Oryzias latipes: one gene and its partners. The protein of the gene in region 3 purifies or fractionates together with the protein of the main gene of each other region. This does not show direct contact. Links are inferred from orthologs where the notes say so. Each region holds a gene or a part of one and is shown on either strand. Other genes may lie near its edges.

The links.
Region 1: the proteins of sf3a3 (region 3) and rbm17 purify together in Homo sapiens (affinity purification with mass spectrometry; 4 studies listed by BioGRID and IntAct, counting the BioPlex papers as one, with this or other methods). This does not show direct contact. The link is inferred for Oryzias latipes from reciprocal best matches to the Homo sapiens genes SF3A3 and RBM17.
Region 2: the proteins of sf3a3 (region 3) and sf3b6 purify together in Homo sapiens (affinity purification with mass spectrometry; 3 studies listed by BioGRID and IntAct, with this or other methods). This does not show direct contact. The link is inferred for Oryzias latipes from reciprocal best matches to the Homo sapiens genes SF3A3 and SF3B6.
Region 4: the proteins of sf3a3 (region 3) and snrpa fractionate together in Homo sapiens (co-fractionation; 4 studies listed by BioGRID and IntAct, with this or other methods). This does not show direct contact. The link is inferred for Oryzias latipes from reciprocal best matches to the Homo sapiens genes SF3A3 and SNRPA.
Region 5: the proteins of sf3a3 (region 3) and snrpb2 purify together in Homo sapiens (affinity purification with mass spectrometry; 6 studies listed by BioGRID and IntAct, with this or other methods). This does not show direct contact. The link is inferred for Oryzias latipes from reciprocal best matches to the Homo sapiens genes SF3A3 and SNRPB2.
Region 6: the proteins of sf3a3 (region 3) and phf5a purify together in Homo sapiens (affinity purification with mass spectrometry; 3 studies listed by BioGRID and IntAct, with this or other methods). This does not show direct contact. The link is inferred for Oryzias latipes from reciprocal best matches to the Homo sapiens genes SF3A3 and PHF5A.
Region 7: the proteins of sf3a3 (region 3) and snrnp70 fractionate together in Homo sapiens (co-fractionation; 3 studies listed by BioGRID). This does not show direct contact. The link is inferred for Oryzias latipes from reciprocal best matches to the Homo sapiens genes SF3A3 and SNRNP70.

What each region holds. Positions count from the first base shown.
Region 1 is NC_019881.2:3,098,602-3,102,805, reverse strand, and holds the end of rbm17 (splicing factor 45), read right to left. Parts: intron 803-4,204; coding exon 699-802; 3' UTR 501-698; downstream 1-500. UniProt on the Homo sapiens protein: Splice factor that binds to the single-stranded 3'AG at the exon/intron border and promotes its utilization in the second catalytic step. Involved in the regulation of alternative splicing and the utilization of cryptic splice sites.
Region 2 is NC_019882.2:13,000,287-13,003,928, reverse strand, and holds sf3b6 (splicing factor 3B subunit 6), read right to left. Parts: upstream 2,188-3,642; 5' UTR 2,065-2,187; coding exon 2,035-2,064; intron 1,711-2,034; coding exon 1,592-1,710; intron 1,105-1,591; coding exon 966-1,104; intron 870-965; coding exon 780-869; 3' UTR 501-779; downstream 1-500.
Region 3 is NC_019869.2:17,931,794-17,935,881, forward strand, and holds the start of sf3a3 (splicing factor 3A subunit 3), read left to right. Parts: upstream 1-1,288; 5' UTR 1,289-1,443; coding exon 1,444-1,539; intron 1,540-1,640; coding exon 1,641-1,688; intron 1,689-2,411; coding exon 2,412-2,464; intron 2,465-2,555; coding exon 2,556-2,661; intron 2,662-3,218; coding exon 3,219-3,291; intron 3,292-3,656; coding exon 3,657-3,748; intron 3,749-3,827; coding exon 3,828-3,910; intron 3,911-3,990; coding exon 3,991-4,088. UniProt on the Homo sapiens protein: Component of the 17S U2 SnRNP complex of the spliceosome, a large ribonucleoprotein complex that removes introns from transcribed pre-mRNAs.
Region 4 is NC_019871.2:13,958,418-13,962,527, reverse strand, and holds snrpa (U1 small nuclear ribonucleoprotein A), read right to left. Parts: upstream 2,796-4,110; 5' UTR 2,714-2,795; intron 2,467-2,713; 5' UTR 2,459-2,466; coding exon 2,386-2,458; intron 2,271-2,385; coding exon 2,098-2,270; intron 1,752-2,097; coding exon 1,587-1,751; intron 1,342-1,586; coding exon 1,183-1,341; intron 1,086-1,182; coding exon 997-1,085; intron 907-996; coding exon 747-906; 3' UTR 736-746; intron 651-735; 3' UTR 501-650; downstream 1-500. Other genes in the region: c13h19orf54 (UPF0692 protein C19orf54 homolog), read left to right, coding at 3,920-4,101. UniProt on the Homo sapiens protein: Component of the spliceosomal U1 snRNP, which is essential for recognition of the pre-mRNA 5' splice-site and the subsequent assembly of the spliceosome. U1 snRNP is the first snRNP to interact with pre-mRNA.
Region 5 is NC_019859.2:709,986-714,062, reverse strand, and holds the start of snrpb2 (U2 small nuclear ribonucleoprotein B''), read right to left. Parts: upstream 2,801-4,077; 5' UTR 2,675-2,800; intron 2,288-2,674; 5' UTR 2,280-2,287; coding exon 2,216-2,279; intron 546-2,215; coding exon 373-545; intron 312-372; coding exon 180-311; intron 108-179; coding exon 72-107; intron 1-71. UniProt on the Homo sapiens protein: Involved in pre-mRNA splicing as component of the spliceosome. Associated with sn-RNP U2, where it contributes to the binding of stem loop IV of U2 snRNA.
Region 6 is NC_019877.2:2,094,200-2,098,151, forward strand, and holds phf5a (PHD finger-like domain-containing protein 5A), read right to left. Parts: upstream 2,668-3,952; 5' UTR 2,596-2,667; coding exon 2,544-2,595; intron 2,271-2,543; coding exon 2,247-2,270; intron 934-2,246; coding exon 767-933; intron 690-766; coding exon 600-689; 3' UTR 501-599; downstream 1-500. Other genes in the region: aco2 (aconitate hydratase, mitochondrial), read left to right, coding at 3,630-3,665.
Region 7 is NC_019866.2:24,780,069-24,784,096, reverse strand, and holds the start of snrnp70 (U1 small nuclear ribonucleoprotein 70 kDa), read right to left. Parts: upstream 2,801-4,028; 5' UTR 2,596-2,800; intron 2,236-2,595; 5' UTR 2,230-2,235; coding exon 2,083-2,229; intron 2,009-2,082; coding exon 1,946-2,008; intron 822-1,945; coding exon 767-821; intron 685-766; coding exon 620-684; intron 553-619; coding exon 490-552; intron 266-489; coding exon 184-265; intron 1-183. UniProt on the Homo sapiens protein: Component of the spliceosomal U1 snRNP, which is essential for recognition of the pre-mRNA 5' splice-site and the subsequent assembly of the spliceosome. SNRNP70 binds to the loop I region of U1-snRNA.

The DNA of each region.
Region 1 (4,204 bases), on a different chromosome or scaffold from region 3:
CATTCTGAGAAAGAACAGGGATGGTCCGTCCTCGGGAGCTTTCCGTGAAACCCAACCATGTGCGGAACACTCTGCACGAGCGCCATACGGCGAAGGTTGAGTTTAGAACCAGACCGTACCGGTCTGCATCGGAGTCCATCAGCACCTGTAGAGCCCGACCAGGTCTCTGCCAAAGGCCACTTCAATGTCACCAAGAGGCATGCAGCAGCTTTTCAAAACCAGGACTCGTTACCCAACCCGCCTCACTGATCTGATTTAAACCCACTCCAGGGGCATCTCTTCATGACGTCGGGCCCCTGGGGGCCCCCTGGCTCACTTACATAAGTCCTGAATGAGGCTGAGGCTCCGTTCACTGTCCTAGTCCCCTCCATAATGAAGCAGGGCTATGTTAGGACCGCCAAAACCCCCCAGAGAGGCAGAACCCAAACACAGGAGCCCTGTGCATTTCAGGCAAGAATCAGACGGCAGAAGTAGGCTTCTTGGAAAGTGGAAACGGCACATAAACGGCTTTAAAGCTTTTATTTTGACATATTTGTCAAATGACAGGGAAAAAAACAACAACTACATTTTACAGTTCTGACCACAGAGACGCTGTTCAGGAAATATAAAAAAAAACAAAAACAAATTTATGTACAAGTCGATGAACGAGGAGGAGGAGGATGATGATGGTTGACGCCGGCGCCGATCGCAGGACCACGTCAGACCTGTTCTCCCAGATCCAAAACCCGGAACTTGTCCAGGTTGTAGAAGCAGGCTTTGACGACCCTCCCGCCAAAATAACGGCCGTTCAGATCCACCACGGCTGCAGGAAGGACAGGATGCAGGCAGATTGATATCAACGTGAAAGCAAATGGCATGGAAAAAAACACACTGATTAAAATGACTTAAAATGAAAAGAAAGAAAAAGAAGTTGGATTTGATGCTCCAAACCCAAACATGAGCTCAGGAATAGGCTGCAGAGTGAAGCAGAGATGGTTGGTGTGCAGCAGTGCTTCCTAGAACCTGCTTTTAATTAGAAAAACCAACAATAAAGGCACGTTTCAGCTGAAACTAACCATGGACGAACTCAATTCTTTGAAAGGATGTGATTCTTTCTGCTACACTTTCTGTTTACGGTCATGAGGACATTTAAAATCATTCGTTCCACTTCCAAAGAACGCTGTTTTTGCTTTGTCATCCTGAGGAGGGAATGTGACGACACACGCCTCTCTCTCCCGTGGATCATCTGAGCTCCAGGCTGCCTGACATCACGCAGATTCCTTTCTCTGATAATGTTGGGCTGGTTTAGCTTCAGGGTTGGAAAAACCACCCTTTTCTCAGAGACCTTTTCAGCCGTCTGGATGAAGCTCATCTGCTGATCTAGTCAATCATGTAGTTGTAGAGTCAGATAAGTTCATTCTCTCTAAGAGTTCTGGTAAATCGCCTGTCCGTCCTGGGGGAGGATCCCTCCTTCATGTGGACCCCCCCGAGGGTTCTTCTGTTTTGCCCTGGAATCGTCTAAGTTTAGTCTGTTTGGTTTAGTTTAGTTTGTTTTGTTAATTTTAGTCAGTTTAGTTTAGTTTGTTTAGTTTAGTCTGTTTATTCTAGTCAGTTTAGTTTAGTTTGTTTGGTTTAGTTTAGTTTGTTTTGTTAATTTTAGTCAGTTTAGTTTGTTTAGTTTAGTCTGTTTATTCTAGTCAGTTTAGTTTAGATTGTTTGGTTTAGTTTGTTTTGTTTAGTTTGTTTTGTTAATTTTAGTCAGTTTAGTTGAGTTTGTTTAGTTTAGTTTGTTTAGTTTAGTTTGTTTTGTTAATTTTAGTCAGTTTAGTTTAGTTTAGTTTGTTTAGTTTGTTTAGTTTAGTTTGTTTAGTTTAGTCTGTTTATTCTAGTCAGTTTAGTTTAGTTTGTTTGGTTTAGTTTAGTTTGTTTTGTTAATTTTAGTCAGTTTAGTTTAGTTTGTTTAGTTTAGTCTGTTTATTCTAGTCAGTTTAGTTTAGTTTGTTTGGTTTAGTTTAGTTTGTTTTGTTAATTTTAGTCAGTTTAGTTTGTTTAGTTTAGTCTGTTTATTCTAGTCAGTTTAGTTTAGATTGTTTGGTTTAGTTTGTTTTGTTTAGTTTGTTTTGTTAATTTTAGTCAGTTTAGTTGAGTTTGTTTAGTTTAGTTTGTTTAGTTTAGTTTGTTTTGTTAATTTTAGTCAGTTTAGTTTAGTTTAGTTTGTTTAGTTTGTTTAGTTTAGTTTGTTTAGTTTAGTCTGTTTATTCTAGTCAGTTTAGTTTAGTTTGTTTGGTTTAGTTTGTTTAGTTTAGTTTGTTTTGTTAATTTTAGTCAGTTTACTTTAGTTTGTTTAGTTTAGTTTGTTTTGTTTAGTCTGTTTATTCTAGTCAGTTTAGTTTAGTTTGTTTAGTTTAGTTTGTTTAGTTTAGTTTGTTTTGTTAATTTTAGTCAGTTTAGTTTAGTTTGTTTAGTTTAGTTTGTTTAGTTTAGTTTGTTTAGTTTAGTTTGTTTTGTTAATTTTAGTCAGTTTAGTTTAGTTTGTTTAGTTTAGTTTGTTTAGTTTAGTTTAGTCTGTTTATTTTAGTCTGTTTAGTTGAGTTTGTTTAGTTTAGTTTGTTTAGTTTAGTCTGTTTATTTTAGTCAGTTTAGTTTAGTTTGTTTAGTTTAGTTTGTATAGTTTAGTTTGTTTTGTTAATTTTAGTCAGTTTAGTTTAGTTTGTTTAGTTTGTTTAGTTTAGTCTGTTTATTCTAGTCAGTTTAGTTTAGTTTGTTTAGTTTAGTTTGTTTTGTTTATTCTAGTCAGTTTAGTTTAGTTTGTTTAGTTTAGTTTGTTTAGTTTAGTTTGTTTTGTTAATTTTAGTCAGTTTAGTTTAGTTTGTTTAGTTTAGTTTAGTTTGTTTAGTTTAGTTTGTTTAGTTTAGTTTGTTTTGTTTAGTCTGTTTATTTTAGTCTGTTTAGTTTAGTTTGTTTAGTTTAGTTTAGTCTGTTTATTTTAGTCTGTTTATTTTAGTCTGTTTAGTTTAGTTTGTTTAGTTTAGTCTGTTTATTTTAGTCTGTTTAGTTTAGTTTGTTTAGTTTAGTCTGTTTATTTTAGTCTGTATAGTTTAGTCTGTTCAGTTTAGTCTGTTTAGTTTAGTCTGTTTAGTTTAGTTTAGTCTGTTTAGTTTAGTCTGTTTAGTTTAGTTTAGTCTGTTTATTTTAGTCAGTTTAGTTTAGTTTGTTTTGTTTTGTTTAGTCAGTTTAGTTTAGTTTAGTTTAGTTTAGTTTGTTTCTATAGGGGAACCTTTAGAATTGGTACTTCATTGGTACGTCATTCATCTCTGCAGGAAACTACTGTTCCATTTGAGCACAAAGATCTGTGGCTGTTAGTCTGTTTATTCTAGTCAGTTTAGTTTAGTTGGTTTAGTTTAGTTTGTTTTGTTTAGTTTGTTTTGTTTAGTTTGTTTTGTTTAGTCTGTTTATTTTAGTCTGTTTAGTTTAGTTTGTTTAGTTTAGTCTGTTTAGTTTAGTCTGTTTATTTTAGTCTGTTTAGTTTAGTTTGTTTAGTTTAGTCTGTTTATTTTAGTCTGTTTAGTTTAGTTTGTTTAGTTTAGTCTGTTTAGTTTAGTCTGTTTAGTTTATTTTAGTCTGTTTAGTTTAGTTTGTTTAGTTTAGTCTGTTTATTTTAGTCTGTTTAGTTTAGTCTGTTTATTTTAGTTTAGTCTGTTTATTTTAGTCTGTTTATTTTAGTTTAGTCTGTTTATTTTAGTCTGTTTAGTTTAGTCTGTTTAGTTTAGTCTGTTTATTTTAGTCAGTTTAGTTTAGTTTGTTTAGTTTAGTTCGTTTTGTTTTGTTTAGTCTGTTTAGTTTAGTTTAGTTTAGTTTAGTTTAGTTTAGTTTAGTTTAGTTTAGTTTAGTTTAGTTTGTTTCTATAGGGGAACCTTTAGAATTGGTACTTCATTGGTACGTCATTCATCTCTGCAGGAAACTACTGTTCCATTTGAGCACAAAGATCTGTGGCTGTTAGAATGAACCAGCTGCTCTCTGAGCAGAGCAGCTGGAGTCTCGTAGCTGCAGGCGGGGACGGTTCTTTGTTTCAGTGTTCGGACCGGAGAAGCGTTCTGACCGCAGTCCGTACGGCTGCAAAGGCACTTGATCGTAAAAATACTAGAAGCGTGTTTAGAAGATGATCTCACTCCGTGTCGGAGCTCTGCTTGTTTACAACAGACTGCATAATATTTTCTTCTATGGT
Region 2 (3,642 bases), on a different chromosome or scaffold from region 3:
GAGGAATTTTAAAACAAATGGATAGTCCCATGTAAAAATATAAAATATGATAAAGTGGATAAATTAAAGAATTCAAAATAAATAAAAACTATTAAAACATTTGCTAAAAGGCAGTTGAAAAAGATGGGTCTTGAAGCTTTTCTTAAAAGCAGCTATGCTCTCTGCAGCTCTCAGGTCCTCTGGCTGACTGTTCCGTAAACAAGGGTGTACCCCACCTTTGCCCTACAACAGCTAGGATAGGCTCCAGCAACAAATATAGCAGGTTAAGATGGATGGACGGAAAAGACTGAATGACGGTCAGCTTCTCAAAAGATACTTTTCTGTTTGTGTGTAAATGTGGGGGAAAAAAGAAAAATTAGCTGATGTGACAGGTTTACAAAACAAGAGTAAAGTGAGTTCATATGTGGTGTTTATAAAACAAAAGACAATGGGTTTAAAGAAAAAGAGACATTTATTTTACAATAAATGGGTTTAAACAAACATTACATCCATTGATGTTCTTGGAGCACAAGGCAGAGACCTGTTAACTTTCAAATAAAATTATGTGGGGGGGGGGGAAAGAACTGAACTGAAAACATGCCTGGTTTCACTTCAAATTAAAAGCTCAATTAACATCAGAGAAGTCATTTTTAAAAAAAGCAGACGGCAGGTCATGCATAAAAGGTTGACAAAAGCACCAAAACAAAAACCTGACCAAGCAAAAATTTTCAAAAAAGGGAACATTTGTACAGGTACAGAGAAATCTAAGGTGTGTGAGAAGGTTTTGATAGTCGTGGAGATCATTTGGGAGGGTCTGTGTTGATGCCGTATTTCTCTTTTAGGAGCTTCAACTGCTCTTCCTTCTTCTTTGTGTCCATTTTCTGGAAAGCCTGCAAAAATATGAGCGGGTTGATGGTAAACAGAAAAAAACAAACAAACAAGGAACCAAAAAGGTTGTAAATGGATGAAATAAAAAGCATACGTACTCTGTTGGCGTTGTAGTAAAGAACAACCAGGTAACGATTGCAGACGTTGAAGCCTGACAGGTGATCGCAAGCGTTCTTGGCATCAAATATGTCTTCATAAACAACATACGCCGTTCCTCTGCTTTCAGGTGTGTTACCCCTAAAATACAGCAAAAGCATGAAATGGTCACACATCTTAACCTGTTCCATAATAATATTGTCCTTAAAGACCCACTCTGATGAAAACTGTTTTAAAACATTTTCTCATGGCATTTTTCTGATGAAGGACAACATATATGAAAGAATATTGAGCTTATTTACATATTTATTTTATTGTCTGAAAACATATGAAAAAGTGATCTAAGAGGGACTCTTAAATGATGATAACATGTGAGGGGAACAAACAAAACAAGCATTTTTAATATGATTAATAATGATTTAAATGTCAAATTTAAGCAAATGCTACACCACAGTTTGGAATGAAACGATTTTTTAAATAAATTTTGCTTCTCATTAATACTACCATGTAAAAAAATTACATTTATATATATTCATTGTTAGTAGACGTGGTTGTGTGTTTAGGACAGACATTTTTTTAAATTAAAAATAAACAAATAAAACTGAAGGTATGAAGACAAAACACTTACGTTCGTATTTGACGTATGGGTCCATATTTGCCAAAAATGTCGTACATTTCCTCAGCCGTGATCTTGTAAGGCAGATTTCTTATGTATAGGATTCTGTTCACCTCTGGAGGTAACCGAATCTGCAGCACACAAAAAAGAAATGTGTAACAGAAAGACTAGCATGTAAACAAACGGTATAAGAATTCTTCACTAAAGTGTACCCTCTAACGTGCTAAAACAATAATAATTCTTTAAAATTTTAAGATGACAAAACAATCAATTTTACCATCTCATTTTCAAAATGCCGTATTTATTAATTTTTTTACGTAGCGACGCTATCTTTTAGTAACCAATAGCTGCTAAAGGCTAACGGAGGGCTAATTGTCCCTTTCGTGAGCACCAAAAACCATATTAACATATACTCGTTGTTATATAGTAAAGTTAAACACAAAAATTGACCTTACATTAGCGCGTTTCGCAGCTTGCATAGCCATGATGACAGTTTATTTCGTCTGAACAATAGCTAAACAACAAACACGCAATGCCTTTAGCCTTCACCAGGAAATGGAGGGACAAAACGAAGACGAACATCCGGTTAACGGATAATACCAATAGGTACAGCAATAGGCATGTGCTTCCCTCGTGTGGTTAAAAGAGGAATCACACACATTTTGAGATACTATTAACACAACTTTTTTTAAATTTCTTTGTAATTCTGTTCTTTGACCTAGAAAAAATCAACATGGCCATGAAAGTGGTTTTGTGGTTTCACAAGACACAAGAAATAAAAAGACTTATGTGTACCTCTCTCATCAAAGTGTTGTGCAATGAGATATATGTGTAGGGAAAAGTAAAATTACTTATAAACATCAATAAAATGCAAAACAGTTTTTTTTGTCATTTTTGTGTTAGGAAATTCCCTACACTGACAAAATCTATGTATTTAACTTTTTTGGAGAAAAATATTGGAGATTTGAGCACTAGTTAGAATTGCAGTTTGACCTGTTTACCCACAATTGGGGTTTTGGCGTTAAAATGAATCTACTCCCCTTTTGTGTCTTTTTTTTCTTTAAAGATAAAATCCAAATTCTATACATATTTATGAGGGGGAAGTTAGTAAAAATAACCATCTCTCATAAAAAAACAAACAGAAAACAAAGCTGTGCTTTTAATTTCTTTAAAAAAATACAGTCTAAAAAAGATCTTAATTCAAAGTACTCGATTCCTCTTCTTTTGTGACATTTAAAAAAAAAGCGAGATGACAATCACCTTTATAAATCTAACCACAAATAAAAAATATTTTTTCTCTAAAATGTTCGGAGAAAAAAAACTATATATAGAATATTAAATAGAATTGTGATAAAGTATTACAATATAAAAGAGGAAAAATAAACGACGACATGAGAATAAAGTCATAAAATTATGAGAAAACAAATCAACATGGGGTAATGATTTGTTGAACTGTTGTGCTTTTATTTTCTGCAATTAACAGGTTATGGGTTAAAGAAACGAAAAGAAAAGAAAAAGTATTAGTGCGCAGGCGCCATGTGGGATTTGATGATTCGGTCCGGTAACGGTTGCAGATTACGGCGGGAGTTTTTCCAACGGCAAACTGGCGTCTCTCGAGGAAAATCTAGAAGGGACGTTTTATTGAAGTCTCGCGACGTGGAAAAAGATCGACGGTTGAAGACCAACTCGGCGAGGAGAGCTTTCTTAGTCTGAGATGAATAAACGGGTGAGTTTTAGTTTAACATTTTTTGTAAACCAAAACGATAGCCGAACTCCTCGTATTGACTTTAGTTGTTTTTTTTTATTCGCAAAACGCCCGTTTACAGAAACCCGTCCTCAATGGCTAACCTAGCTTAGCCAGCGGACTGTGCTAGCTGCTGACGGTCCGATTGGATAAATTGTTTAAGTTTTGACCATAGTTACGACAAAAATTGTGAAGTCATAAAAATATATAAGAAAGTAATAATAATAATAAACTCATTGTAGGACTGACAATAGAAAAAAACGTATTTAGCTAAGTAGTTTGAGTTAACATGATATTAGAAATGAAAAATTTCAAGGCA
Region 3 (4,088 bases):
AGAAGAAATTATCTCTGTGTGTCCGTTAGTGTCCTTGCAGCACTGTTGAATCTGTTGAAGACCCAACAGATTATAAAGGGTTAAAGTCAGGACAGACAGGAGGAAAACACGGAGTAAAATCAGAACACTGTGGCGCCAGTCAGAGACAGCAATCACTTTCCGATCTCTGAATGATTGATCGCTGCGTCTCCTGTGGAAGCAGAGCATCCAGGAGTAAAAGCATCCAATCAACAACTGCTAATGAATAAAAAACAAACAGAAGGTGTTGAGCGGCTGCAAAAAAAATGCTATTGGTCTTTACATTGCGTGGCTTAAAATATTGCATGGGCTAAAACATTTGTAAAATATTGAAATGCAGAATGAGTGTACTCTACAACGCAATTTGTGCAGTGTTGTTCTGCACATCATAATGGTTTTGGAGAGGGTGGATGATGGCACTTTTACCTACAACAAGGGTGTCACAGTCTGATACTGAATATGTTACTGAGAGATTTAACAGCATGATGACGGGTTAGGAGGGATTATCCATGATAGATGTCAGTTTTACCAGCCTCCTTCTGATTCAGACTTCCTCAATAGTAGCCAGTTTGTAGCCCAGGGCCGAGCCAGCTCCCTTGATTTTGGGAGGACTCACAAAGATGTCCCCCAAGTGACACCCTGGGCAAGGCGAGATCCCCTTGCTCCCCCCTTGCCGATGGAGGTAGTGTCTTTGTCAGTTGAAGCTATCCGGAAATTGGGATTGGTGATGACCCATGTCCTTGTGAAACACATTATACCGAATTCTCTGCTCTCTCCCTATGTCCTGATGAACACTTTCACTTCATCCATGTAATTTGCACAAACCTCACATTTTCATTGATGACTGTGGGAATGCAGGACTTAAACTTCTTGTTCTTCATCCTCTGTTAGAGCTATACTCTGAAGCATCACCACCTCCTCTCTAAGGTGGGTCTTTCTAGCTTGAAAGTCTTAAATTCATATTTTCAAATGTATATTTGCCTCTAACTGTCAAAAACAACGAGAATCTGCATTTCTTGCTCATATACAACATTATAAAACACGAACAATGCAATGAAGTGCATTTTTTCCAGGCAAAACATTTACACTTCCAGTCTAGTTTAAAAACAACATTCCTTAAAAAAAAGTGACAAAACCAAAAATATTTTATATTAATGAGATTCCACGATCTAAAAGTAATTTTGCAAACCAAGCTTTGAGTATTTTTATTTAAAGTAATAGTTTAGTGTATGTCTGTTAGGGAAGCGGTTATCAAAGCGGAACCGTTTTACTGGGGGGTGTTTCTTCAGAAACTTATCTGGTGACGGACCCCGGCGTACGTTAGAATGCTTCAATAGAAACAAACGTAGTAGCTTTTTTTTGGTTTCATTTAGCGTAAAAGACAAGAAGAAAACAGGCAATCAAACTACGAGATATTCCCGAAACATGGAGACTATTTTGGAACAACAGCGCCGCTATCACGAAGAGAAGGAGCGGCTCATGGACGCCAAAACCAAAGAAATGTTACAGAAAAAGTCAACGGTGAGCTTAGCCGCTGCAGGCTAACGTTGGCATTACGTGCCACGACGTTATCCTCCTAAAACAGAAAATTAATGGTTGTAATGTGTTATTTGTTGTTTCAGCTTCGGGATCAGATTAATTCCGACCATCGGATTAGAGCCATGCTCGATGTAAGTAGAATTTAAAAAAAAAAAACAACGTTTTGTTGATGCTAACACAGCGGCAGGCTTACGCCACCGCTACAATGCTTAGAGCATAGTATTAGTTCAAAAGCTACAGATAGTTTTAAAATAGACATTGAAACATTGCCTTCTTAACTTAAGATGAGCTATCTTAAAGACGACCAATCATCCATAAGCTGTTGAGACAAGTGAAAATTTTACTATATTTCCTACTATAGACAACTCAAAGCGAAAAAGTATATAGTGGAGTCAGAAGAAGGACACATGATGATGAGAAGGAATAAGTGTTTTTTACTCCGATTATGAACTCATTTGTCCAAATAGAATAAGGAGACACACAGGTAGGTGTTGCTGCTTCCATTCATCCAGCAGCTCCATTGACTTCCATTTTCCGGTTTGAACTTAAAAATTTTGAGTTTACCTTCAAAGCCATTCACAAAACTAGACCTGTCTGTCTCTCAGATCTGGACATTTTGTTTGTATGTATTTTACAAGTAGTATTATCTAAATGAGATGCAATATAAACTACTGAAAGCATAGCTGTAGTAGCTTTAAATGAAGAAAGGTTGTACAAATATAACAATAACAGGCCGTCATAATTAAGACTTTGAAACTAAAATGACAAAAGAAGTTGAGATGTTTATTTTGATGATAGCACTTTAAAAAAATGGAATTATTCAAGAATGCTTGTGTCTAAATGTGTTTCGTCAGAGATACATGGATGTCAGTGCAAACCTGCGAGACTCCTATGAAGACAAAGATGGGTGAGTGTTGTAGTCTTAAGAACCCACAGGTCTGAATCTTTTCTTTTTCTTTACTGCAGCTGTTTTTTTTCTTCTTCTTTTCTTTTGGCAGCATGAGGAGAGACGAGCTCGCTGCCATCTCTGGACCAAATGAGTTTGCTGAGTTCTACAACAGACTCAAACACATAAAGGAGTTTCACAGGAAGCACCCCAATGAGGTACAGAATCCAGAGTTGTAACAGCACTGCTTTGTGTGGTTTGACAGATGGAGTTATTTATAAACGCTGCTTCATATCAGGAAAAGATTTAAACTATAGAGTGTGTTAGTTATTGTGTTAGGAATTGTGTTAGGAAGGCCATCCTGGGAATCATAAGATGATTCCCTGTGGTACCCACTGTAGGGAACAACTGAAAGGTAAAGAAATAGACTCGGCCACTTAGGTATCAAAAAATACTTTTCCTGTTCTGGGGTATGGACATTATTGGATTATCAGTCAGAAGCGCAACACAAAGCCCTCAGTATGTCAAATGTGTGTTTAATAGACCGACACATTCTGTGCCGGAATGTTGCTCATTCTGCAGAGCTTGAGGGGAACTGCTCTCTTTGGAGCGACTGAAAGTTGTGGAGGAAACCTTTTTGTGCATCACAGGATTGTTTTGCAGAAAATGTCAGCAGAAGGACACTTGGTGTTTTAGTAATGGCCATAATCCATGTGGAATTGTTGATGGTCATGTGACCTTCATTAAACCGTTTTTTAACATGTTTTCCTTGTAGATTTCCATCCCCATGTCTGCAGAGTTTGACGAGTTGATGAAAGCCAGTGAAAATCTCAGTGAGGAAGCTCAGAGTAAGTCGGATCCACCTCCAAAGCATTCTTTATCTTGTTCTTCTCTTTTACAAACATTAACTCTTATTAACAAACAAGAGTTCTTTCTCAAAGTACACATCTGTTTTAGTTTTTCCACCTTTGGTGAGCTAGATCCTAAATTCATTTTTTTTTGGGGGGGGGGGCTTAAATGTAGGAATTCCCTTCACAAGCCGGCAACTAGCCGGCTTTAAGTCTTTTTTTTGTATTGTAGATAAAAAATATATATATATATATATTTGGTCTAAAGTGTTTATGGATTTAATTTTAAAGCCTTTGTTTTAGTTTTAGAAAAATCGAGCAGAATAGTTTGAGTCTGGTTTGACCCAGATTTTTGTCTGCCTCAGACATGGTGGAGTTCACGGATGAGGAGGGATACGGCCGCTACCTGGACCTCCATGACTGTTACCTGAAGTACATCAACCTGAAGGGGTCTGAGGTCAGGATCCATCAGATCTGCTTGATCCGTGTCCAGATTCACATGAAGGTGCACTTTCTAACTGCCCTGTGGTTCTCAGAAACTGGATTACATCACATACCTGTCTTCCTTCGATCAACTGTTTGACATCTCCAAGGACCGGAAAAATGCTGAGTACAGAAAGTAAGTGTTTGTTCCGGCGAAAGTTCCGCTGTTTTTCCGCACGCGAAGCATTAAGGTGGAAAATGCTGCCGGCTGTGCAGATACTTGGAGATGCTGCTGGAGTACCTGCAGGACTACACCGACAGGGTCAAACCCCTGCTGGACCAGAACGACCTCTACGGCAAAGTGTTGACCGACT
Region 4 (4,110 bases), on a different chromosome or scaffold from region 3:
CGGCTCAGTTTGTGGTTGCCGACAAGATTCATAGTAGATATGTGTACTTTGAATGATCCTATGACCTAAAATCAATCCAGGACAACTCCATGCATCTCATAATAAATACCAGGGTGCTGTGCAGTGAAAGTGACGTTTACCAGATTACTTGGATTTCTTGCAAGATAATTTAGTGTAAATAAATGTGTACAAAACAAGTAAACAACAATTCATTACTAATAGTTATGGTAAAAAAAAACAAAAAAAAACACGATCATGTCTCAGTTCAACTAGTATTTTCCGAGATCGATTATCATTCATTCATATTATTTTGAAAGGATTTTATAATGCTATAGGTTAATTACGAACTTGCCTCAGATCCGGTTGGATAAATCGATACATTGATTAATTGTTACACCCCTTGCAGGAAGCTGTGTAGGTGCCAGTCTGAGAAGGATGGAGTAAATACAAGTTTTAGATGACCAAAAAAAAATCCATAAACAAGAAATAATGAAAATCAATCAAGTAATCTAATTACTTTAATACAAAACAACAAATACCAAGCTCCAGGTACAATGTCTGACAAGTCAGACACTGGGTGCAATGCTTTCAAACTTTTTAAAACTAAAGTCATGTCAAAGTGACTTAGAAAAAGCATACTTACATGTAATCTGGGAAAAAAACAAATATTTTATTAAAAAAACGCCTTTTACTTCCACCACTTAAAAAGGAAAAAAACAAATTACAAATTTCAACCTGTGTTGGCATTATTTCTTGGCAAATGAGATCTTCATTGCATGAGTCTGTGTGATTTTGAATCCCTGTAGTGAATCTCGTGCAGCTCCAGCCTGAACCTCATTATCAAACTCCACAAAGGCGATGTCATGGCGACCAGGGACCAGACGCACCTCTTTAAAGCCAGGGAACCTAAACGCAGAAAACGGTCACGGTCAGTCTTTGATATGTTGGGCAGAAAAGAAAGTCAAAGCATAAAACAATTATCAAGTCAATACTGACTGGTTAAAGAGCATGGAGAGCATCAGCTCGTTCGTCTCCTCTGGCAGGTTGGTGAGGAAGAGGATGTGATTCGGTGGATTTTCTGCAACCTGTAAGAGAAGGCAAATGTTTGACAAAAAAGAAACAAAACCTGGAATGTTCATCTTTGGTTAAACATGTAAAGAACAGGGGGACAAAAATCATTACCTGCTGAGGCATTTGGCCAGGCATCATCTGACCCATTGCACCTGGGGGGATCTGGCCAGGCGCCATTCCTGGGGGAGGCATCATGCCTGGAGGAGGCATGTAGGCCGGCTGGCCTGGAATATGCATCATACGGGGAGCTTGGCTCATAGGAGGCATTCCCTAGAGAATGACACATTGTAAACATGTTCATGGTCCTCTAAATGTTTGCTAGGTTGATATTATGTTCTGTGGGGTTTTTAAACCAAACTTTTTCTCCATCAATTGCTGTTATTTTAGCTTAAAATCTCCAAACAACCTATCGCTATGGTAAACTTAGCAAGTTTGCAGACAGTATTTTTCCACTTTTAACTTGTCCGAGTAAGAGCTGCCATGTCATTCTGGTCACAGTAAACGTTCCCACTTACAGGCATAGCAGTAGGCACACCAGCCATCATGGCTGCAGCAGCAGCTTTCTTAGCTCCTGTTCCTTCAGGCTTGGGCTTCCTCTTCTCCTTTTTGCGCTCACGTTCCACATAGGTTCCTTTCATTTTTGCTATGATGTCCGAGTCTGTTTTGGAATACTGAATGCGCTGCAGTAAGACACGTTTAAATATGTGGCATTACTATACCAAGTGTGCTTAAAAAAAAGAAAAAATCCATTATACCTACTAGTTATTTAAATGTATTTTTAATAACCATTAAAAAGTGTTCAGTGTTAAGTGTTCAGTGATCCTCTCACACTGAGCACTTCTAAGTTTACAAAGATCAATCCTTCATTTGATGCACACTGTGGAATTGAAACATTTCACAAACTATACAACACATGACAGCAGAGAGGAATATTGAAAACTAAGATTGATTTGAGTTTTAACATTTTACAGGACGATATTTGTAAATTTAAAACCATGGAGGAAATTAAAACAACGTTTAACTTACCATGGGTTTATCATAGAAAGGGAACCCCTGCATGGACCTCAGTGCATTTGAGGCGCTGTTGATCTCTTTGAAGATAACAAAGGCCTGACCCTTCATCTTCAGGGTTCGTGCGACGAGGATGTCCAAAATTTGACCGAATTGCGAGAAGATGGCGTACAGTGACTTCTTCAGTTCTAATAAAGACAGAGGAAAATAAAAAGCTGTGGTGGATCTGAATTAACATCATTTATCACCACATCGTTCTTTCGACCAAAAAAGCAAAGAAAGGCCAGAAGTTAAAAAACTTACCATCTTTCTTAATTTTTTCGTTCAAGTTGTTGATATATATGGTGTGATTGGGTCGTACTTCTGGAGTGGTCATCTTAAAATCTACGAAGAGTTGTTTGGAAAAGAACAAAGCATGTCACATAAAATGAATTGAATGCTATCAACTAGTTAGCAGGCTAACAGCTAGCGCTAGCAAACAACCCTGAATGCATGCAGGCATTACTAGCATAAAGCTTAAAACTCGGTATAAACTGAGACAAATCAGCAATAAATGATTAATTTAATCGAACTATCTGTAACCTTATGACATTTGGTTTTATAAAAGAGAAAAAACACCGGATAACCGCACCTGAGTATCAGTTTTAACAAAAAACCCACCACCGCTCGGCGCGAAAGGAACGCTCACTTCGATGGGTGAATGAAAAACCTGCCTTTACAATTTCCGTATCATCTGCTCGCGATAAATCCAACTTGCACGTGATTTCCGGTCCTTCTCTTTTTTATTGAACATTTGCAGAATATAATACAAAAATGCAACATTTATAACAGTAAAATATAAAGAATACAATTACGTTCTGAATAAATAAAAAAATCTTTTTAACCTTGTAAAAAACTTCTTCTTTCTCTTTCGGCTTTTCCCATCAGGGGTCGCCACAGCGAATCATCGTCCTCCACCTCACTCTAACCTTGTGAAAACTATTAAGAACAAAATTATAAGCAATATCGATTGTTAAAACGAATCTTGTTCAATAATATACAATTAAAGCAATCACAGAGGGAAAAACTAAGTAACAATACAGTAACAGTAAAAATAAATACATAAATAAAACAAGAATAAAAAATAGAAATAAAGCCAGTGTATTTGCGGTCCTTTTCAGTCAATGGTCAAAAACGAAATTTGTTTCAGTATTTGCGTTAGCAAGATATTTTAATCGTCCTATCAGTGTGGTATCGTATCTTGACAGGAAAGATTAAAAGAAAATGTCAAAAATCTGTAAAAGAAAAAGAAAAAAACCCAGAGACACAAGCGAAAAAAACTTCGCTTGTCCTGTTACACACTGACTGTGGATTGACTTGTCACTAACTTTGTGCCTTCAACTTTATTTCCAAATACATTGTACGGTATGTGTGTAAATGGTGTGTTAAACTGTAGATGACTAGTGATGGAATGATCATCATCACTCACTGGAGGGTGGTGTAACAGTTGAGTACAGAGCGATCGCACACACGAAGAAGAGCGAGTATGTCCAAATATGAGCACGGAGCTGCGTTAGCTACTAGCTTGTTAGCTAGTTAAATCGAAAAGTTTGTTTACCACGTGCAAGAATATGTCAAATCTTTTTCGTCCAAAGGTTGACATGTTTAGGTAAACATCGAGCTTTTTAGATTGTGTGCAAACGACTCGAAGTGAAAGGTAAGCAGTTATTGAGCCCCATGTTAGACTTTAATGGTACTTAACTTTCTCCCTGGTGGTTATTAAAGAAATCAATGGAGGTACATTTTTCCCCCCAACAGAGCTGGTTTTGATCAGACAGAGTAGAAAGATTTTGAGACTATGCCGGTGGACTGCAGCTTGTCATCACCTCCTCCACCTCCTCCACTGGCTGCTTGTCCGCCTCCTCCTCCACCAACTTCAGCACCACCGAAGAAACTGTACCAGATCATAGCAAATAACAGCAGCCCTGTAGAGGGGCAATACACCGAGGCGAGGTTACTGCTGAGGCAGAAGGAGAGCAGGTGAGGAGG
Region 5 (4,077 bases), on a different chromosome or scaffold from region 3:
TCAGAACACGGATCCTCACAACACGGATCCTGAAGAAGCCTCCTCATCCTCTCAGTGATGAAGAACCCTACCTGGAGAGCGAGCGTGAGACCAGGAACCGCAGCAGCCTGCAGACAGAACACAGTCAGACACAAACAAACGGATCGGTAAAGGGGGGGGGGCACGGCGCCGCGCCTCACCGCGGGCTTCTTGGCGGCGTTGGCTGCCAGCTCCTGGGCCTTCTTCTTCTTCTCCTTCTTCTTCTCCTTGTCTCCGAAGGTGCCCTTCATCTTGGCGATGACCTCGGAGTCGGTCTTGGCGTACTGTATCCTCTGCAGGGAGACAGAGTCAGCGGGGGGCGGGGGGTCATCCTGAGGGTCTGCGCGTTCTCACCATGGGCTTGTTGTAGAACGGGAAGCCCTGCAGCTGCCGCAGCGCGTTGGTGGCGGCGGCCAGCTCTTTGAAGACCACGAAGGCCTGCCCCCTCATCCTCATGGTCTTCAGCGCCACCACGCTGAGGATCTGGCCGAACTGAGAGAAGAGCGCGTAGAGCGAGCGCTTCAGCTCTGAGGAGGAAGAGCAGAGATCAGACCCGGAGGAGCGAAACCAGAACCAGCCCAGCAACAGTTCTCCTCCGACCCACAGAAAGACCTGTGTTTGCTGGGATCCGCCTCCATCAGGATCCGTTTTGTCCTTTCAATCAATCCAACCTTTATTTGTAAAGCGCCTGAACAGTGAAATAAACACTAATAGAGCCGGTCTGACTGTCATCTACTCTGGTGTTAGAAGCCAATGAAAAAAGAGGAGTTTTTAACAAAGATTTCAAACCCTATAAGGAGCTGGCAGACAAAGGGAGACGGTTCCAGAGTTCAGGTTCAGCCACTGAAAAGACTGTCACCTTTAGTCACAGGTCCAGGTCTGGGACCACCAGGAGCCTCTGGTCTGCAGACCACTAAGAGGACGATGGTGCTGCTCAGTGACATAAAGAGGTGCTAAAGCATTTAAACACTTAAAAGGTCAGAAATAAAACAGTTAAAATCAATTCTAAAAGATACCGGCAACCAGTGCAGAGAGCGTAGTACTGGGGTCATGTGATCACGCCGTCTGGACGCCGTTAGGACACGGGTTGAAGCTGAATTCAGGACCAGCTGAAGACGGAGGAGGGACGGCTCCCTCCCAGAATAACGGGAATGACAGCAGGCCAGTGTGGAGAAGATGAGGGCATGGACAAGCCTCTCCGGGGTGTCATGAGGGAGGTGTGGCTTTACTGTGTTGATTCATCGGAGACGATAAAAACAAGACTGGACCACAGCACTAACATGTCTATCAAATTTAAAACTAAAATAACCCCAAGATTTCTGCTAGAAGACAGGTCAGAGTTCAATGATCCAACAGGCCGCTGGATTCTGTCAGATCAGTTTTCCCGGTTTTCTGTTCATTTAGGCAGAGGAAGTTTGACTTCATCCAAGTTTCAACATCCTCTAAACTCTTCTTTGGGTTCTCTACACACTGGGCCCCCCAGATTCTAATGGTAGATAAAGCTGGATATCATCTGCATAACAGCGATAGGCCACATTACACTGATCAAAAATGGTGCAGAGTGGAAGCAGGTATAACGAAAATAAAATGGGGCCTAAAATTGAGCCTTGAGGAACCCCGTGTCCGAGTGGGGCCTTTGTGGATGAGAATTGACCAAGTTGGACAGAAAACCTCATATCAGATAAGTACGACTCAGACCATTCAAGTGCTGTGCCTCTCATGCCAACAGACTGCTCTAATCCAGAAAGTTCAATAACTCTGGCTGCAGTTTGATGCCTTAGGAGATGGACGGACGCCCTCCTCCTTACGTTGTTCCTTTGCCTGTAAACAGACGGCCGCAGGAAACAAAGGCCTGGTTTTGTTCCGATGACGGACATTTTTCTGATCCGTAAACTCTCAGAGTCTCTGTGAGCTGGAACTCTGACAGAACCGGGTCATGAAATCCAGGGTTCTGGACGAGGGTTTTTGTGAGGTGCTGCTGAAACTGCCAGTGACCCAAGTTTGACCTGTTCAGACCAACGAATCCTGCTTTTGGAGTGTGAACAGAACGCCAATGCTTTTCCCGCCCTATAATGATTCATTTACTGAGACTGAGATCCTCCCGAAACACCGTCAGCCTGTTGGGCTGCAGGTGGAGGTTTACAGGTGAGGCTACAGGTGAGGCTGCTGGATCCGTGTTTCTGAGCAGGTCACTTGCCTTCTTTCTTGACTTTGTCGTTGATGTTGTTGATGTAGATGGTGTAGTTTGGTCGGATGTCCATGATGGAGTCTGAGAAGAAGATGATGAAGCGATTTGATCAGGAAAACGGACAGGCGCTCAGAGCCTCACGTTGAATGAAGACTAGTTTTTAAAAAGCTTCGGACAACAATGAAGCCTTACGATTAACGTGCCCAGATACGAGAAAAAAATTATCTGGAAATACAGTTTTTAATAAGAGAACTTTTGCGAGAACTTAGATTTCTTTGATTTTATGACTTTATTTTGAAAGAGGCGCTAGCGTTAGCATCCGTTAGCTCCGAGGCTAACCACGCTCGAGTTCAAAACGTTAACCGACCGTGGCGGCTTTTCTTTCGGAGGAGTCGCACCCCTCCAAGTCTGTCAGCCCCAAAACAGACCAAAGATTTTAAAATAAAGAAAAATAAACCCGCAACTCACCCGCACTGTGTTCACGCAGCGCAAGCAGACAACCGGAAACCGCCGTATGCCGCTTTATGAAGATCGCCGCGCTGCTGCCCCCGCAGGCCGGGAGGGGAACTGCAGCGCCTTCCTTCCTGTTAAGAAACACAAACGAGAGTTAAGGGAAACTTCAGCCTTTTCATTCTCTTCTTCAGAAATCCTCATCCATATATATCAGTTATGTTTGCATTTATTTATTTATTATATTTTCTTTGTAATTCTTTCTGTTTCTCCTGATAGTTTCATCAAACCAAATACTGACTGTGAAGGACGCTATCTTTGTTATGTTACTATCAATGTTGTTAATAAAAACATCTTTGTTTAAAAACCTGCCAAAGGTGGATTATTCCAGTACTCCAGAAGGACTGTAGGATTTTAGCAACATTTATGTTCAAAAGTTGATGGTGACGGTAGTGGAGTGTTCAACACTCAGTTCTGTAAGGAGTCTGCATGTTCTCCACATGCATGATAGATAGACAACTTTATTTATCCATTTGGGAGGTTCCCGCATGGAAATTGACAAAAATGAGTGAGAACTTTACAAGTGTACTGGGGGGTATTCCAGAAGGCCCGTTTAAACTCCCCTGACTTTAACCCTGAACTCTGGCTGAACTTGCTTACTCTGGGTATGTTGGTTCCTAAAGACCGGATATGAGTTGGCGTAATTACGCTCCACTTGGTAACGCTGGGTTAATGCACAGCAGGTACATAAAGACATTCTCAATGGATCGCCGATTTCTGGAGTCACCATGAAAACGCGTGGAGAAAAAAAGAGAGCGCTATACTTCAGACGGAGTCTGAGATTTAAATGACGGCGTATGAAGATTATAGGTCCATCAATAAAGTAACACGGCTGCATCATCAGCAAAAGAAAGAGTTTCTGCTTGTAGTAGAAGAACAGACAAAGTAAACGCACGAGTTTCTGATCTTATTTCTATTTTCATTGTGACACAAATACGCCCCTCTCACCCTCCCCAGGTGGTTTCTCCTCCAAGCTGGGGTCCTCTACCAAAGGCCTGGGATCTTGAGGGTCCTGCAGTATCTTAGCTGTTCCTGTTCTTTTCTGGACTGAGAGGTCTGAGGTCTTTCCAGGTATCTGTTGTAGCCACTCCTCCAGCTTGGGGGTTACTGCCCCCGGTGCTCCAATTACCACAGGCACCACTGTCACCTTCACTTTCCAGGCTTTCTCCAGTTCTCCTCTGAGTCCCTGGTATTTCTCCAGTTTCTCATGTTCCTTCTTCCTGATGTTTCCATCGCTTGGCACTGCCACATCCACCACAACGGCTTTCCTCTGTTCTTTATCCACCACTACAATGTCTGGTTGGTTCTCCATCATCATCCTATCAGTCTGGATCTGGATCAATTCAATTCAATTCAATTTT
Region 6 (3,952 bases), on a different chromosome or scaffold from region 3:
TTCCATAGTTGAACTTTTAAGTAATCTTTAAGCAGTTCATCTACAATTACTTTTCTGATTTAAATAAATTCATTTGTATCCTGAAGAACCAGGAATCAGGCTGTCCTGTTTTCAGACGGGAGAAGTCAGAATTATACGTCTTTAAATACATCATTTCCTCACTTTTGATCAGTAAAATGTAGATTTTGTTGGACTCAAATCCCTAATTTTTTAACTGAACTCTCAAATGTTTAGTTTTTTTCTTCCCTGTTGTCTCCATTTCAGGTTAATGTGACGAGAAAAGACAAACCAAAACTTCCAGATCTGAAGCTCCTCAGATCTTTAGGAAAATGTCGAAACTTTTCTTCCATCTAGAAAAGTTTAGGCTGCATTTATACGACCTGGATCTTCCTTGGAACCTAACAGGAACAAGGTTGAATGAGAGAAAAGAGCCTCCATGTATAAACGATAAGAAAAAAACGCTTTAAAACTGGATTATTCAGTCAAACGGCCACAGAGACTGGAGTACAAAAGTGAGTTTTATTCACAAACCAAAACAGTTTTCTTGGAAGTTTGGAAACGAGAAGGAAAGCCTAACAGACGCCGGGGGGGTTTCTTCTTCACCTCTTCTTGAAGCCATACTTCTTCCTCTCGTAGAACAGGTCTGTTTTGGAGCTGCCCAGGTTCACGATTTTCGGACATCCGTCCCGCTGCACAAAAAAAAGATTAAGGGTAAAAACATTGGTTCATTTCAGCGAAGGGCCGATCCTGGAGCCCAGAGACTCACATCTTTCTCCTGAATGGTGCACTCTTTGCAGTAGTACGCATCAGACACTCCGGGGCCTCCGCAGATCACGCAGCGCCCCTGATAGGACCCGTAGTTACACTCGTCACAAATGCGCACCAGCGTGCACGGCCTCACGTACGAATCACAGATGACGCACTTCCCATCGCCTGAAAGGAGCAGATCAGGGACAGTCTGGTTGGTCTCTGCCGTCTTTTAAACATTGTTAAAGTCAGACTTTAAAACAAGTTATTTTTGTAAAAGAAGACGGTCAGACGCTGCATCTCACTTCCTGAGTTTCTGCTGCTAGTTTCTTTGATGAAATGACAGCAAAGAGCTTTACAGATACATCAAATTAAACTTTTTTTTTTTTAAAACTCGAAGCGCTTTAAAATTTAAAACTAAACTCAAGACTTGAAAACAGCTGATCGTTCGTGTTTTTTGATCAAGAACATCTGTGTTGCTCTATATGCAGACAGGAAGGAGATACAATAGAGAGAAGAGGATAAACAGATAAGAATTGGCCAACACAGTTTGTTTACAATAGTTCAGAACTCTGGGTTGATGTTTTTTTTTTTTAAAGCAATATTTGACTGACATAATAACTTTGATGCATCTGTATGAAGGACTTTATCAAACTTCTGTTTTTCGAATCTCATCTTATTGACCAGACTTCCAGACTGGGAATTTAAGACATCTTTAATGTCATATCTATATGTTCCACGGCATCCTTTCCTATTTAGTTTTACAGACTGCTTCATTCTAGATTTTCTATCTAGAAAAAGTGTACTGATTTTCGAGGCAGGAATTCAAATGCTTCAGTCAGAAAGCAGGCCCAAACCACAATAAACTTCCACCGTGCTTAAAGTCCCACTCTGATCCTCTATTGAAATATTTTCATAACGTTTCCAAAAGCTGTGTCGTTTCTCCAAAGCGGCAGGAGTTTATTAGAAATACACCTATGAGTTGTGGGCAGATTGGTAGCGTGGAGCATGCCCGTCCCCCCTTCCCATCACCCATCTGTTTGTGTGCACTCACGCTACCTTTACAGCCCCTCACACCTCCAAACCTAACTGTATCGGTTTTGTTTCCAACAAACGGAAAAAAAACCTCTGTGGAATTCAATGGACTTTTTCTTCACTCTGCTTTATGTTCCCACTTAAAGTACTAAGTACAAATGAGTTTAGACTCCATTCACATTGAAAGCTTCTTGTTTTAAATTCTAGAAATGGAAAAGTTTTGGATTGTAGTATTTTTTCCTAGACTAGAGAGGGCTTTTATTCTGAAAATAATTCTCACATTAAACATTAAAGGCCCGTGCAGAAAAAAAAAGAAGAACAAATCAGGGATGGCCGCACGCAAAGAATCACTTTATAATATGTTTTTTTTTTTTTTGTTATTTATAAATATTACCTATAAAATGATATCTACATGCACTCTTTCTTTGAACGTTTGATAGCATTAAACAATTAAAAAAACTTACATTTTTCGCAAAGTCTCCCGATAGCTGGTGATGAAAACAGATACAGTTAATAAGGTAATTTACACAGTTTGGGATTAATATTTTAAATAATTAAATAGAAAAAACTAGGTATTTAGACATGTCGACTCCAAACACAAAACTAGGCTAACACGACCATGCTAACAGTCTCATTGAAACCCCATGCCATACATGCTAACAAAGCGCTAAACCTTTGAAAGTAAACCACGAATGTGTCAAATTACCTGCGACGAACTTTAAGGTTTCAGACACTAAACAAATAATTACGTAAAAACTTACCAACTCCCGCTTGTTTTCTACAAAAGATCAGATCTGGGTGATGTTTAGCCATGTTAGCTAACGACAACCCAACGCTCCGCTGACTCTTCTTCTTGCGTGTCGGTGGAAGCTAAAAGCAGCTAAATGGCCAATACTGACACCTACTGGACAGAAGCATGTACTATTTTATTTTTTAAATTACAAAATAAAACATAAACACGAGTTATAATATTTAAGATAATGAAAGTAATTAATTTAAGTTTTGAAAATGTAAAAATAAAAAATGTTACCAACATATTTATTTACATTTTTTTTATAAATACTAGATTTAAATAAATACCCTTTTTGCTTTTAAAATAGGCTACATTTCCAATTTTTAAAACCTTTTTATGAAATTTTCTGTTTTAAATTCATTTTTTAAAATGTTTTCTGAAAACCAGAACAATATATAAAATTATGAGAGAGTTACTTTATAAATAAACATGTCAGCTTGAGGAGGAAATTACCTGTTTGAGAACTTTAATTGCAGTTCATCAAATTAAAATTTTCTTGAGTAAAAATGTACTTTGGTGTGCAATGCATACCCTTGCTGAAGAAATAAAATTTTTTCTAACTATTGCGCAACTTTTTTGATGAACAGAAAATCTAGCTTATTTAACTTTGTTCATTAATTTATAAAAATGTTACATTTCCATCATATTTCTATATTTATTTTGTTTAATCAAGCACATATGAATGATTAACAACCATTTTACAAACCTAAACTTTTAGTCCATTGAATTGAAAACATGATGCAAATATCCTGTATGTATGGAAAATTTAATTCAAGCAATGCGTTATTTCTTTTAGATCTGCTGATGTGACGACCAATATTTTTCTTATGAGTCTGATGACACATTTTGTCACATATTGACACAATTTCTTTAATATTTTATTCCATGTAAACATGTACATTTTAGAAAGGAAATAAAATTCAGCTGTATTTCCAGGCTTTTCCACCAGAGGGCAGCAGTAAATACGACACTGGACGAAAAACCAAAGAAGAAGAAAGAAGCTTTTATACATCAGTGACGTCACGGCGATCTCACATCTTTGTCAGTGAACAAAATGGCATCTTACTGTCTCACCGTCGCACGGCTCCAGGTAAGAGCCTAAAAACTGTGATTTTTAAGTGTGAATTTCCCCGCAGCGAAGTGTCGATTTGCATGAAAAGATTTAACATCTCGTGTACAGTTTCCCGGTCTCATTAAAAGACCGAGAGCTAACGGATGAACGCAGAGGTTTTTCCTAGCTAGCTGCCTGGCAGGTCATCGTGTCCCTAACGCACCCGACCCAGGAGACGAGAACCAGCTTGACCCCAGCATATTATTGCCCTATAACGCCTCCGTTTTTAGTATGTTATCTCACATATTCTCTGTTAAACAATGAAA
Region 7 (4,028 bases), on a different chromosome or scaffold from region 3:
CATCGAGCAGACCCCCCCCCCCACACACACACACACACACGTCAGACGAGCAGCAGACATGGATCTGGTGAGCAGAGCTCAGTTTGCTGGTCTCCTTACAGAAGCATCAGTGACGAGCAGTGCTCTGATCCACACACACCAACACAGACTGGCTTTGGTGGCCGATGCCTCAGCCGTACTCACAGTGCATGTCTCGCTCGTGCTCATACTCTATGAAGGCGTAGCCGCGGGGCTTCCCTGTTCCCTTGTTGTAGACGATGTAAATCTGAAAAGAAAAACTCCTGGTGAGACTCGGCAGAGCGGAGGCAGCAGACATGCAGTCAGCGCACGACGACACGCACAAAGCGGCGCCAAAACGCTTCACGCACGGCTCTTTACTTTTTTTTATAGTATTTTGAAGAGCCAGGAGAATTTTCTCACATTGTAAAGACAAAAGGGTTCATGTTTTGAAGAAAATCTGGACACAGAAAAATAATAATCAATAGCTACCCGTTTAATGGGGCCATAGACTTCAAACTCACGGCGAAGTTTGGACTCTGTCGTATCATAATTCTGAAACAAAAAGGTTTTAATTACCAGATGTGAACAAGGAGTGAGAAGAACCAAGACAAATACTCACCACTCGTGCCACAAACAGAGTCTTGAAGGCATCCCCCTGAGCATTGGGGTCATTATGGGGGTCCCCTGACATGGAACAAACAGGAAGGATGAGCACAAAGCTTTTCACCGTTTGAGGAGAACGGCGTGAAGAAAGTGACAAACTCACAGAGCTTCAGTTCTGTCTCCACTTCTCCCTGTCGCCTCTCAATCTTCTCTCTCCTCTGGAAACAGAAAAGAAAATGGTGACGGCCAACCGCAGAGCCTCCAACAGCAGAGCATCAGCACAGAGCTGACATAATCCCGCACTTGGTTTCTTGTCTGCTGCCAGCATGCACCTGTGCTGGGCTCCTGCCTGGTATAATATTTCTATAGACTTGAGAGGTTTTCACCGAGGCAGAAAATGCTGAATGAAGGAGTTAGGACTGTAATTCAACTACCCCTCCTTTGAGAATCTGCATTCATTAGGTCTGTGCTTCACAGCCAAACTCCTGCTTCAGTCAATTCACAAGTTCACAAATAAATTTCCTTTATGGCTCAAGACGCTCAACTGAAACGTTACAACCCCAACATAACATTATCTGTGCAACAAAAATGGCGAGCGATAAAGGAGCTATCCAGGCGTTGAGTTTCTCAAACAACAATACTAACAAATGCAATTTTAATCCTAATTTTCTGTATACATGCCTTCCATCGTTATCTACGCAGCACAATCAGAGATCCAAACAGTAACGACTGGTGGACGCTGCAGCACAGACAGGATCAGGTTAGAGGTTTATATAGTAAAGAGATGGTTGAGTGTGCCATGAGAAATTACTCAATTTCACCTATTTGTTCTAAAAAAAAAAACATTTTCCATCGCCAGAATATTAGCTCTACGTTCATCGAAATACGCCCAGGTTTCAGTTGGGAGTACTACAGATCACAGAAGACTTTTACTTCCTATTTAAGACACTTTGATTAAAAAAAATGTCTGCACCACTACTGTGCAGCAACTTAGGCCAATGGCTCTTATTTTGGAAAAAGTTTGTAAAACACCCCCAGTTCCTCACCCTGACAAAATACCAGCTAACAATGGTGGAAGTGTAGCTTCAAGCAGGATCCGGTGTCAGACCGTGTAAAAAGTGCATCCAATAATGAAGCCCGGAGATTTGCATCAGTGTCACAGAGTTTACTACATCTCCCATGATTCATTGGGTTGATGTGACAGAATCTGTGCTACTGCCAGCTGCCATAAAGCAAAACAAACGCAAATATGAAATCTTCTGGATGAAAGCAGAGATAAACCGTTTATTTATCCATCAGGTTCTGTATTTGAGCACATGTGCAAAGGGGGGAGGAAACTCACCTTTCTCTCCAGGCGTTCCTCGCGGGTCTCGGCTCTGGTTGGTGGGGGGGCATCTCTAGGATCCTGGTGGGAAACAGTAGGAAGGTGAGACAGAGGCATCGGGGGGACGGAGGCTCGCACGTGACAGCGACGCTCACCTCGAAGTGTCTGATGAAGGGGGCGATGCCGCTGTACGGCTGGTTGTGATGCTTCTCGTGGGGCAGCTTCTCCAGCTGAGGCAGGAACGGAATCGGGTCCCGGGGGGCGAACAGGGCCAACAGGTTCGGCGGGAGGAACTGCGTCATCTTTCACTTGATCGATAAGGAAAACATGCATGATATCAGACACGGATCTGCCGCAACACAATGAAGCAGCGAAACTAGCTGTCAGGGCAGCTAGCTAGCTAGCTAGCTAGCCGTAATACCCGTACTAGCTAGCTAGCTTCACGCGCTTATTGTTCACTTCCCCACAGGACGGGGGACGCGTTCAACGCATTTCATGCATCCAGAAGTAGAACATCAGGAACCCCCTCCCACAGTAGTACACGTTATGGTCTGCGTACAAGTTAAGAGTTTGGCCGTCCGGAGGCAGCCGGAGGCGTCTGCTCCGCTCGTGGGATGTAGCGCTCCCGTTAGCATGGAGCTAACCACTAACTGCGCCCTTACACTCACCTTCTCTCCTCCAGAGTCCAGCAGCTTTTAGTTCATGGACCTGAAGGAGGAGCGGGACTGTCCGCGGGTTCGGTGGCTCAACGTAGAACCGCCAAAAAGAGACTCCGTGAAGATAAAAATGCTGGAAATGGAGCTGAAAACAACGTGGAGATAGCTGGCTGCGTACTGCGGCTGCTCGGCCTGTTGAAAATATAAAATGGCGGGGGGGACCGCCGCGTGAACGTACGTCTTTTGACGTAACTTACGTGATGACGTCAGGACGCCGTCCAATGAGTTTATTATTGACAATGTGATTTCCATGTGATTTTTCCCATTTTGCTCTGAATTTTATTGAAATAAATATAAGTTTCCTTTGACATTGTTAAAAGTTTATTTTTTTGTTAAAAAAATAAATAACTTGTTAAGTGAGAATCACTATGGGTTTGGTTCTAATAGGTCTACAGGTTTTGCTACAATGAAAGTAGTTGAAGAAATTTCAACAGCAATTGACAAAAAGAAAAATACATTAAAAGTTATCATTGATTTAAAGAAGGAATTTGACACCATAGATCATTCTATCTCGATTTCTAAACTGCATGCGTATGGGGTTAGAGCAATCGCCCACCAGTTATTTACAAAACAGACAATACAGTATGTGCAGTTTGGAGGTAATAAGTCTGATCTCATGAATATTATTTGTGGACTTCCACAAGGTTCAATTATAAATGTTTGGGGTATTTCTAAGTTGTTGCAGTTTGTTTTATTTGGACATGAAGACAAATTTCTCTGTTCAGGGATAATCTAAAACCCTAACTTAAAAGTGTTAAAAAGGAAATGAAACTTAAAATGTGGTTTGATTATAATTAACAAAAACAAAGTTTATGGTATTTGGTAATAAAGAAAAAACAGAAGTGGCTTTATCCATTGACAACATAAATATAGAGCAGGTGTCTGAATTTAAATTTTAGGGGTTATGTTGGATGACAAATGAACATGGAAATCTCATATTTTATGTAAAAAATAAAGTAACCAAGACCCTTTTTGTTTTGAACAAATCCAAGTATATTTTACCATGTCAGAGTGTGCATGTGTTATATTGCTCTTTGGTTTTACCGTACTTTACATTTTGTATTGAAGTGTGGGGGAACACAGATTAAACTAATATAATACCCTTAATTTTATTACAAAAGAGTCTCTGCTTCAGCTGGTCCCAGACCTGCTCTATGGGGTTCAGGTCAAGGGTCATTGCTGGTCAGACCATATGAGCCTAGAGACTGGTTGTGATCATTCTGGCAGCATGTGGTGGAGCGTTATCATCCAAAACTGCAAAACTCTCACACAAAATAACTCAATAGGAGTGAGATTATATGAATTTGCTTTTTCCAACTCCTTTTTTTCCTAGCACTAAATCACTTTCTACTTGACTATTTAGTTAATAATCACTATATTTAAAT